Linked DNA regions of Arabidopsis thaliana. The protein of the gene in region 1 interacts with the protein of each later gene in a pairwise test. Each region holds a gene or a part of one and is shown in the gene's direction. Other genes may lie near its edges.

Region 1 (5,893 bases):
ATAAGTATCCTGTGGCGAAGACTGGCGTCGTCGCTTGGATCGGATCCTGTTCGAAACCTGTTTTCGGACTTAGAGCCGACATGGACGCACTTCCGTTACAGGTTTGAAATCTAATAATCAAAGTTCCGATTTTTACTCTGATTTTTAGATTGCTTTGTTTGACTAATGAATTTGAAAAAATGGGGACAAAAAAAGGAATTAGTGGAATGGGAATCGAAAAGTAAAGTAGATGGAAAGATGCATGCTTGTGGTCATGATACTCATGTTGCTATGCTTCTTGGTGCTGCTAAGCTTCTTCAAACCACAAAACACCTCATCAAGGTCTCTCTTTTTTCTCTTTCACTCAATTTATATGTATAATTTTGAATGATTCTGTCTGTGCCCTGCAATTAAAACTCATTTCGATGTGGGTTAGTGTTTTCTAAGATTCTTAGATATATGTGTGTGTATGTCTTTGATTGCTAATTGTTATGTGTGTGTGTTTTCTAGAGTTGTTAGTGTGTGTGTCTTATGAGAGTTTGGTGAATCTTATGAGGGTTTTGAACGAAAACACAATTTTTTTGCAACAGGGGACAGTAAAACTTGTGTTTCAACCAGGCGAGGAAGGTTATGCAGGTGCTTATGAAATGCTAAAAGACGAGATTCTAGACGACTTAGATGGGATACTCAGTGTTCATGTCTTTCCATCGATCCCATCAGGTGGTATTGGTTCTAGGCCTGGGACCGTTCTTGCAGGTGCAGGATTGTTTACAGTCACGGTTCACGGTCAAGGTAGCCACGCAGCTACACCGCACTTCTCTAAAGACCCGGTTCTTGCAGCTTCTTCCGCTGTTGTTGCCTTGCAACAGATTGTTTCGCGGGAACTGGATCCACTCGAAGCTGGTGTAAGTTTGCTTTCCACTTTCAAAGCATTGGTGTTTGATGAATCAGAATCTTGGCTGAAATCAGCGGAGATTGGTTTTTTTATGTTTCTCAGGTGGTTACAGTTGGATATATTGAAGGAGGTCATGCTCAAAACGTAATACCGCAGAGTGCGAAATTTGGAGGTACTTTCAGAAGCTTAAGCAACGATGGGCTTCTATTTATCCAAAGACGGATCAAAGAGGTAAAGAGATTGTTTTTTACACCATTTTTCTATACAATCTTGTTCTACTATTCGAATAATGTAGGTCCCTAACCCTGTTTAAATGTTTCTTGATGATGATGCAGATTTCAGAGGCACAAGCATCGGTATACCGATGCAAAGCAGAAGTAAACTTCGAAGAGAAAAAGCCGTCGCTTCACCCGGTAATGAATAACGACGAGGGCTTATACGAGCACGGTAAAAAAGTAGCGGAAGCGATGATTGGAAAGAATAACTTCCATGATTTCCCGGTGACAATGGGAGGAGAGGATTTCAGCTTCTTCACTCAAAAGACTAAGGCTGCGATTTTCGTGCTGGGGGTAAAGAATGAGACGCTAGGCGCTGGTAAGCCGCTTCACTCGCCTTACTTCTTTGTTGATGAAGAAGCTCTTCCTGTTGGGGCTGCTCTTCACGCAGCTATGGCCGTTTCTTATTTGGACGAACATGGTCATAGCCATGAAGAAGAGGTTAAGAGTGAATTATAGAAGGTGTTGGGAGAAAATCAGCTTATATTAGTCATCATCTATTTGTATTTGAACTTGAAAGTTAGGTGAGGTTAGGTTTCGGGTTGGGAAGAATGTTTGTTAATAGTCACGAGAAACCAACCACTTCTATTAAAATAAATTTGATGTAAGAGTTTTAAAAATTGAACAATTGAAATCTTCAAAATGAATACCACTTCTTAAGTTCTCTGTTGACCATTTCTATTACCTTCCTTTCAAATTGATACAACAAATACATAAAAAAAAAAAAAAAATGTCTATGGTACAAACTTATATCAGAAATAAAAACGGTGTCGGAGAGGCTAATCTTTGTTTGTCAACGGTAGCTCAGACACATTTGACAGACCTGGCATGTCTTTGGTCACACTCAACCTGCAAAAAAAAAAAACATAAAAGAAACAAAACGATAACGACCATTAATTTTTTAATTAGACCTAATTTATTGATCTAATACAAAAGAAAGGAAAAACAGAGGTCGTTTAAACGTCTACAAAAAACATTACTGCAGTGATTTATTGTCATTTATGTAACGCAAATATAGTTGACTCTGATAAAATTGTTACAACTAGTATTCATAAGTCATAACCTTATAATTAATTAATTATCTTTCTGTAAATTAGCTGTCAAATTAAATACATAAGATTCTCTTTTAACTTTTTTGTCAAAAAGGAAATATTCCAATTAGTAACTTTTCTTTTTTTCCTTTTTCTCTGCAATTATGACCATTTTCTCTCTCTTAGCCGGCTCTAGAGAGAGAAGAAAGACAGAGCTGAAACTCTTGTAAACCAAAAAACACAAAAGTCTCTTTGTTCAAACACTCGTTTACGCGTAGCCGAAATAAATTTTCCAAAAACCCATATCCGAAAAAGTCGATATATTTATTGAATTTTTGGAACCAAGGAGACGAAGAATTTACACGGTTTTTGAAGAAGAAGAAGAAGATGAAGTATAAGCGTAAGCTAAGTCTCTCTGTTGTCTTCCTCTTTGTCTTCTATCTCGCTGCGGTGACTTCAGATCTAGAGTCTGACCGGAGAGCTTTACTCGCTGTTCGTAACAGTGTCCGTGGCCGTCCTTTGCTATGGAACATGAGTGCTTCTTCTCCTTGTAATTGGCACGGAGTCCACTGCGATGCGGGTCGGGTCACGGCTCTCCGATTACCCGGATCTGGTTTATTCGGTTCTTTACCAATCGGTGGTATTGGTAATCTAACCCAGCTTAAGACTCTTTCTCTCCGGTTCAATTCTCTCTCTGGTCCTATCCCTTCGGATTTCTCCAACCTTGTTCTCCTCCGTTACTTGTATCTTCAAGGTAATGCCTTTTCCGGTGAGATTCCGTCGCTTCTCTTCACGCTTCCGAGCATAATCAGAATCAATCTAGGGGAGAATAAATTCTCGGGTCGGATCCCGGATAATGTCAATTCTGCGACCCGGTTGGTTACTCTGTATTTGGAGAGGAATCAACTCTCTGGTCCGATCCCTGAGATCACGCTTCCTCTTCAGCAATTCAATGTTTCTTCTAATCAGTTAAACGGGTCTATTCCGAGTTCGTTGTCGTCTTGGCCTCGAACTGCTTTTGAAGGTAACACTCTCTGTGGGAAGCCTTTAGACACTTGTGAGGCAGAGAGCCCCAATGGTGGTGACGCTGGAGGACCCAATACGCCGCCGGAGAAGAAAGATAGCGACAAGTTATCCGCCGGAGCTATTGTCGGGATTGTGATCGGATGTGTTGTTGGTCTGTTACTGCTTCTTTTGATTCTGTTCTGTCTCTGTAGAAAGAGAAAGAAAGAAGAGAACGTTCCATCTAGGAATGTTGAAGCTCCTGTCGCTGCTGCGACTTCCTCCGCTGCTATACCAAAGGAAACGGTGGTTGTTGTCCCGCCGGCTAAGGCTACGGGGTCGGAGAGTGGTGCGGTGAATAAAGATTTGACCTTTTTCGTGAAATCTTTCGGGGAATTCGATTTGGATGGATTGTTGAAGGCTTCAGCTGAGGTTCTTGGGAAAGGAACAGTTGGGTCGTCGTATAAGGCAAGCTTTGAGCATGGGTTAGTGGTGGCTGTGAAACGGTTAAGAGATGTTGTGGTGCCTGAGAAAGAGTTCAGAGAGAGATTGCATGTTTTGGGATCAATGAGTCATGCCAATCTCGTGACTCTGATCGCTTACTATTTCAGCCGTGACGAGAAGCTTCTTGTCTTTGAGTACATGTCTAAAGGAAGCTTGTCTGCGATATTGCACGGTATAGAATAGTAATCTCCATTTGTGCATTTGTTTATTTTTAGGGTTCTTAGTTTAGCTGATGCTAGTTTGTGATCTTGATGGACCTGGTTTGGCTAAAATTGACACTGATTACTGAATTGTTTCATAGTTAGTTTATCTTATGTGTCTTCAAGCTCGGTTTTGAAGCTCTTTTAATGGATTTGTAGGGAACAAAGGAAACGGGAGAACTCCGTTGAACTGGGAAACCAGAGCCGGTATAGCCTTAGGAGCTGCAAGAGCGATTAGCTACCTACATTCGCGTGATGGGACAACTTCTCATGGAAACATTAAGTCCTCGAACATACTATTATCTGACTCCTATGAAGCTAAGGTCTCTGATTACGGTCTTGCTCCCATCATTAGTTCTACATCTGCACCTAACCGTATTGATGGCTACCGTGCCCCTGAAATCACTGATGCTCGCAAAATATCCCAAAAAGCTGATGTCTATAGCTTTGGCGTCCTAATCCTTGAATTACTCACAGGTAACAAACAATCAAGGATAGATATATCTTTTTAACTGCTTTTTTTGCAATTGCTGTGGTTTCTAGGTTTTAACATGGAACATTACATTGCAGGTAAGTCTCCAACGCATCAGCAGTTGAATGAAGAAGGCGTAGATTTGCCGAGATGGGTCCAATCTGTTACCGAGCAACAAACACCGTCCGATGTGCTTGATCCCGAGCTCACAAGGTACCAACCTGAGGGCAATGAGAACATCATTCGTTTATTGAAGATCGGTATGAGCTGTACGGCTCAGTTCCCAGATAGTCGTCCTTCGATGGCTGAAGTCACCAGACTCATTGAGGAGGTTTCTCATTCATCTGGCTCCCCAAATCCTGTATCCGACTGATTTTTTGGGGGTCTAAATTGATTGATTTGAATATTGTTTGGGGTCAAGTTGCAATTTCTTGAATAGTGTCGACCCCACTTCCCGCCTTTTTTCTACTTCTTCTTCTTTGTTCTTGTTCTAGTTTGTTCGTTAATTCTTGAGCCTCAAATTGAGATGAGACCTATCAGTTTCTTTTTTTCTTTCTTTCTACTTTTCTTTATTTCCAAAGTTTTAAAAATGTCTATAAAACTATTGCTTTTGCTAATTTTTGTATAAATATATAGTTGATTGCGTGTGAATAAATTGGTTTTTGTTTTCTTCTTTACACATCTTATCCCAGAATCCTAGTCAACGATTCAGCCAAAAAACAATGTCAACGAGTTTTATTTTTTATCGCCGTCCAAAATTTTGAGCCAAAAACAAAGTCAACGACAAAAGTGGTCATGAATATCGTCTCACGATTGACTGACAAATACTTCACGATTTGATTAGATATGAAGTTTTATAATGTGAAGTTGGTAACCACTAACTAATAACCCTACTTCACAGGAGAAAGAAAAAACATTTTAGATATGAAAAAACAACATTGACCCAGAAAGATATATATTTGCTTAGAGATTTTGTATGAAAGAATTACTAGTGCTGATAAACTATTTAGTTCAAGCTTAAAGGGAAATCGATTAGATAATTTTTCGAATTATTTGAAGAAAACATATTGTGATCTGGACTTATAATTTTTCATGTGATATACCATTTACACCGAGTCATGGGCAGTTGCCACAACTTTATCTCATGTTCCAACTCGTACCAGACTGGGTACATATGCACATGGGGTTCAATAAATTTATTAGTGGGATACTCTTTGACATAAAACACTATTAGGAAAAAATGGAATTAAAACCTATTCATAAATTCATATAATTACGCACGTAAATAATGTTTTTCACAGTAATATTAGAATTTGACCTTAGCAAGTTGATGGTTTTTAAACCGTGGAAGCAAATAGAACATGACTTCCACATACAAACATCATCAACACTAGAGATAAATCATAGATATAGAAAATCATATTTATGACTGAAATATTAACAATTACAACTTAATGGGCTTTATGGCTACATTTTTGTAGGCTCAAATCAATTGATAATGAAGCCCATTTCATAAATATGTAACCATAATAAGT
Region 2 (6,039 bases), on another chromosome or scaffold:
TGTATTGCATTGTTGGTATGGTATTAATCCCCATTTCGAGATCATTGATATAAGGTCCATTTGTGTCCATGATCGACTTGACATTTGGGAATCCTGCGAATGCCCATGTGTGGTTCAAGCGGATGCTATAATCAAACAAATGAGGTCCTTGTTCATGGAATACCACTGCTCCTTTTATTTTTGGATTCGAACAATTCCTAAGCAAACATGATGAGGCTTAATCAGTTTTAACATTTAAAAAAAAAAAAAAAACGAAAAAGCATAGACAGCTAGTTATAACTTTGATGATAGTACTAGTGAAGATAAAATGCAGACACACTGGGCATGTGAAGCCAAAATATCTCCCTGTTTCCAACATAGAAAAGATACCAGTCTTGTTCAGGTAGTATAATCATCAAAGTTGTAGCAAATTTGTAACAACTAACCCAAGGAGATACTGCCATTATTCAAGAAATGCTAACCAATTCACAGAATAAACAGAGAGATGTACAAGAAAAAGTTTGAAGGCGACAAGAAACTAGGGATGAAATTGCCTTCTTATTAGCTGGAAAAAAGAACAAAACATACCTCACTTCGCTACAGACACCATAATGCGCAGATGTTATATAAGTTTCCAGCTCTATGTCATCTTTAAAAATTTTAGTAACTAGCTGCAAACAGAAGACACAGGGTCGATTAAACGTGTGACATATGAAGAGTAACTATCGATCTAGAATGCAGCATAAGATGAAGACGTGATGATGATTACCCGCAGTTCCGGAAACTTAAGAGACAAAATGTCGATCATGTTATTAGTTTCATCAGTGTCAGGTGCAAAAGCTAAAAAATCCCCCTCAGCAAGCAAAAGCTTCAAAACTTCTGGAAAACTAGGAGAGTTGCCTTTGCCCACTTCGACGACTGTATCTTTGTCTATGTTCCTTTCATGATCAACAGAACAAAATGCAGAAAACGAAATCAAAATCCAATTTTAGTACGAGAGAGAGAGAGGCTAGTGACGAGTGTAAAAAACTGATATCTTACGAGTGAGCCGGGTGAATTGTGGTGTCAACCCGTGTCCTGACGGCTATCAACAGCAACATTACAATAGTCGGAAGCAAAATCTGCCAATGAATAAGAGAAAGAAGCAAAATTTGATCAACAATTCGAAATTTTAAAAACAAAAATTGCATTCAGCATCAAGGAGAAGAAGACCCATTAAGACGAGCAGTGAATAAGCATGAAAACGACATAGTTTTGAGGAGCAAAGAAAAAGAGAGAAACCTCAGCTGAAGTAACGAAGGGATGACGAGTTTTGAGGAGCCAATTCTTGCGGAGCATGGCCTTGAATTGCCTCTTCGATGAACCCATTTTTCCTTGGAACCCAGAAAGAACCCTAGACGATAGATTCTAGTCTTGGCTTCAATAAGAAATCATACTTTTATGGTTCTTCTTTGGGAAAAGGCAAAGCAAAGTAGCAAACTAAGAAAGCAGAGAGAGGTGGCGAAGACTTGGGCTCACCTCACTGACATTTGTGCTTCCTTTTTTTTTTTTTTTTTTTTCCTGCCAATTTATTTGATTCATTAATCAATTTGATTATACAATCAAACAAAAGAATTTTGCAACTAGCTGCGGATAACACAAGTGGTCGACAAAAATAGAAGAATTCCGAAACTGTTTCATTTATTTACGGGACCTTTCTTCTTCTATCAAAAAACCCAAAAAATAAGGAGAAGATTAGATTAGTTGTCGTGATATTAAGAAGGTAATCTTATATTAAACCAAAAAAAAAGAAGAAGATAATCTTATAATTAATATATATAAGTACTTAAGTACAGTTGCTGATGTTGACCCAAATATAAATCTTTGCGTCAATGCCAAGTAGGGGTGGCTCTCTCACGGGCTCCACATTAAAAGCCTAGTGTAGTGTACGTGGAACATCCTGATTCGTTTTAGAGTTGCGTTACGCCAATTATATTACGACGAAAACGACGACGTTCCTAAGTTTGACGGCAAAGTATACGAATGTTTTTATTATTTTTCCGAAGGTTGCCAATAAAAGCCGCCATTAGAATTATTCCTTTCATTGCCACTCCCCAACTTGATTCTTATTTTTATTTTTATCAGTTGTGACACAACTTTAAAGAAATCCACCTTCATATTCAATCCTCAAAAATGCTGTTTTTTTTTAACACAGAAAAAAAACAATTTTTAGTAAAATTATATCAAATGTAGAATCAAAATGACACTATTTTCTTCAACTAAAAACAATGAAACTTTTTTTTTAATACCATTAACTTTTAATAATTTATCTGGATTTTTTCAAAATATATGATCAAATTTCAAGTAACATCTAAATATATGTTAAAGATGATTTTGTTTGGGCTGTCGTTTCCAAGGATATTTTTGTTATCCGCCAGAGACAAAAAAAATCTGTTATGAGAAGCGGGGCTACTGGGCCAGCTCTTTGTGGCCCATAATTTAGAAATATTTTAAAACTTATGTATTGTTTTTGTTTTTTTTAGGGTGCGATTTTCCCGACTAAACCAACTCTACTTGTCTGTACATGTGTGTTCGACTAAACAAAGTTACAATCGTCTTCTGCTTTGTTGTTCGTCCATCTTCTACAATCGAACCTACTTCCCTTAACATCCAATAAACCAGAGAATAAATTGATGGTTTTCGATTGTCTCCTGTTAGCTCGATTTCTCCGCCGGCGACTTTTGGGATCAAATTTGATTCTTCACGATTAAGATTGAATTCGCCATTAGGTAAAGCTGCTGAATTTTAAATGTCTAGCTCAAAATCCAAACCCAAAACAGGTCCCAATCTAAGAAAAGTATTCATTCGTCTTTGCCACCTGTACAACTTTTTAAGATTTTCGTTTTTTTCTCTATTGGTGAACAAGTGATTATTTTAGTCTACCTTTTTTTCGATTTCCACTAACTAAAACGCAAGTAAATTTTTATCTTTTGTTTTAAGGGATAGTGGAGGACAAAATCTTGAAAACTGTTTTTGGATCCCTTCACCAGGTCATTCTTATTCTGCTTCTGTAGAAAGTAATAAACTAAAGTCATAATCTATCATGAATATGTGAACTTTTTTGAATTTGTTGTCTTAGTATCAAAAAGCTATGGTTTTGAAGATTACAGCTAAACTTTTCAAACAGTGTCTTTAATAAGCATTAGGAATTTCTCGAATGTTTACTTGCCACATTGTTCGATTATCTCTTGTCTCTTTTTGCACATTCCTTCATGTCTTCTTTCTTGTGTGTGTGGCTGTGGCTTAAAATATGTGCAGGTGGAGCATCATTTAAGAATCTTATGCTTTGGCTACAACGCCTATGGATACGGGTCAAAGCAGCATAGAACCTTATCAAGCCAAGTCTTTTAGTCGGGAGAGCAGTGTAGCCTCTTCTTTAAGCTTATCACGTAGTTTGCCTCACCTAATTGACAATGACGTCGATAGTGAGAGTGTCTCAGAGGCAGGGGATATTGGGGACCGCTCACTTCGGAGAAGGCATAGTGCTGGTAGAAGCAGCCGTTTGTCTGCTGATGATTTTATAGAACAAGGGACTCATGATACTTCTCGTCAAGAACAAGATATATTACATGACCTTCGAGCTTTCAACACTGCTTCCGTAAATAAAACTTTGCCTGAGGACATAACAGCATCTCCTTTACCGACCAAGTCACTCTTGTCACCTGAAATAAACAACTCCGTAGAGACTACCTCTAACTTTGCATAGTCACATCATTGTTAGTATTGGTTTCTTTGTCCAATGTTTTGATCTATTGTAGCTCGTGGGTTGCACAGGGAAAGGAGGAAGAGCGAGTGTTACCAAAGTCCTTGGAGTACATATCATGCCTAATTCATTTGGCTGTTTTTGGGATTTTTGGGGTAAAATGCTTATTTTCCATTTTCTGTCTGTCTCTCTGTTGTGCTTTGTTTTTGTTTAAATCATTATAATCAACTCGTTGACTCCAAATATACAGGCCATTACGAGATATTTGCTGCAAAAATTGTTTGGGCCAACTGGTGCTCGAGTAACAAGTGATGGGAGCATCTTGTACCTTGATCTTCCCTCCAACATGGTGAAAGTCGCAATGCACTCATCTCAAACTTAATTACAAACCTATCTTTCTTAATAAAAATTCTCCAAATGCTTCCTTATAGGTAGGATCATTCTTGATGGGTTGGTTTGGCGTTGTATTCAAAGCAGATATAGCAAGAGTTTCTGAATTTGTGGCGATAGGATTATCGACTGGTTATTTGGGGAGTCTGACAACATTCAGCGGTTGGAACCAGAAAATGCTGGATCTTAGTGCTGATGGTCAATGGGTGTATGCTGTGCTTGGCTTTTTATTAGGTAAAAACAAAAAATTCCCTTCTCAATCTCCAATCACCTACTAAATTGGATGAAACATACTTGCTTACAGCATAAACGACTTTACAGGATTGTTTCTCACGTCATACTCCATAATTCTGGGAGTGGAAACGGCCAAAGGGTTTAAATGGCTTCTTCATAGAAGAGCTTCTTCTGAGGATAAATTCCATTGTCTTAAGGTTAACACCTTCCAGAGCCATATTGTGTCTCTGACCCTGATGCTTCTGTTGCTTGTGGCTTTACTCACTGCCAGTTCCATACTGCTTGTGAAAGAGTTTGACAAAGGAACAAGCGAGGCTCAGCTATGGTTTGGTTGCTTAGTTGCAGCCCCTGGTGTCTGGCTCAGATGGTTCTTAGCCCGACTCAATGGACGTGGGCTGGGAAAGGATAGTCAAAATTTGAGATGGGTCCCATTTGGCACCCTCATTGCAAATGTAGTTGCAGCTTGCGTTATGGCAGCATTGGCTACCTTGAAGAAATCGGTATAAACTTCCTCACCTCCTCTCTCTACCAAACAGATCAAATCACAAAAGATAACATTCATTGTATATATTTTGGGAAACAGGTGAACACGAGAACATGTAACACGGTTGCTTCGAGCATACAGTTTGGTCTGTTGGGATGTCTGAGCACAGTTTCGACCTTCATGGCTGAGTTCAATGCGATGAGAGAAAGTGATTACCCATGGAGAGCCTATGCGTATGCATCTTTTACCATTGTGGTTTCTTTTGCGATTGGAACTATTATATACTCAGTCCCTGTCTGGGTAATAGGATTCAGTTAGTTGTATCAAAGCTAGATAAGTCTTGTGCAGATGATGTGATAATACATAGTCGTAACATTTGGTAGAGATGAATAATTAGATCGGTCACAATCAAATTATATTATACCTTGTGCAGAAATATTAAGAGCAAACTTCTATACTATAATGATAACTTTTTTCTGTTTTACACAAAATATCATGATTCTATATTCCACACTGGAAAAAAAAAAACACAACCACTAACAAAACCTGTACATTCCTGCTTCAGACCATTGTCACACTTTTCCCAACTTTTTCTCCATAAAAGAGACAAAGAGATGTCAAGTCGACGAATTCATCTCAAAAAAGGAGAATCTGACATACATAAAGTCTAAAGGGAACGGCTCATTTCTCTTGTGGGAGGTAGCTGTACGTGGAACAGCTGGTCTCTGTCTTTGTCACCTGCAGAAGAAAGAGAGCCAAAGAAAATGACATAAGGAAGATGTGTTGTAGTAACCTCTGAAGTCTCTGGTTCTATAGATATATGACTACGAACCTCTGAAGTAAGAGAGGATCCTGAAGGAAGAAATGGTGTCCAGAGAATAGGGTCTGCAAGAGGATCCAATGTATTGTAGTTGGTGAGCAATGGAGCCGTTAAGAGAGAGGTAAGTGGGTACATGCTTTTCTGAAGAGACAAAGCAGCAGCACCGCCTAAAGCAACTCCATGACTCACAACTGGTTTCTCTATTGCCTTGCCGTTATTCTTCTCCATATTGATGATGTTACGGTTTGCATTCTCATCGTTTTCATTATTGCAGCTTTCTTGGATCTTCAACACTTTCTCCTCTAGGCTCTTGAAGGCAGGCGACTGAGACAAGATGCTTAAAGCAGAAGAGCTTGATGGTGATGATATTTCTTTTTCTTTTCTCTGAGT

Evidence for each region. Proteins that work in one complex are often made in the same cells at the same time.
Region 2: the proteins of AT3G02880 (region 1) and AT2G41705 interact in a protein complementation assay, tested with the Arabidopsis thaliana proteins (one large-scale study listed by BioGRID).

Annotation. Positions count from the first base shown.
Region 1 is NC_003074.8:632,252-638,144, forward strand, and holds AT3G02880 (Leucine-rich repeat protein kinase family protein), read left to right. Parts: upstream 1-2,213; 5' UTR 2,214-2,567; coding exon 2,568-3,858; intron 3,859-4,045; coding exon 4,046-4,363; intron 4,364-4,456; coding exon 4,457-4,731; 3' UTR 4,732-5,033; downstream 5,034-5,893. Other genes in the region: ILR1 (Peptidase M20/M25/M40 family protein), read left to right, coding at 1-101, 196-321, 570-884, 977-1,105, 1,210-1,608.
Region 2 is NC_003071.7:17,394,764-17,400,802, forward strand, and holds AT2G41705 (camphor resistance CrcB family protein), read left to right. Parts: upstream 1-2,506; 5' UTR 2,507-2,747; exon of another isoform or gene 2,748-3,276; 5' UTR 3,277-3,319; coding exon 3,320-3,697; intron 3,698-3,792; coding exon 3,793-3,876; intron 3,877-3,971; coding exon 3,972-4,070; intron 4,071-4,152; coding exon 4,153-4,345; intron 4,346-4,432; coding exon 4,433-4,845; intron 4,846-4,928; coding exon 4,929-5,147; 3' UTR 5,148-5,318; downstream 5,319-6,039. Other genes in the region: ABCA1 (ATP-binding cassette A1), read right to left, coding at 1-197, 568-650, 749-917, 1,021-1,100, 1,261-1,347; AT2G41710 (Integrase-type DNA-binding superfamily protein), read right to left, coding at 5,497-6,039.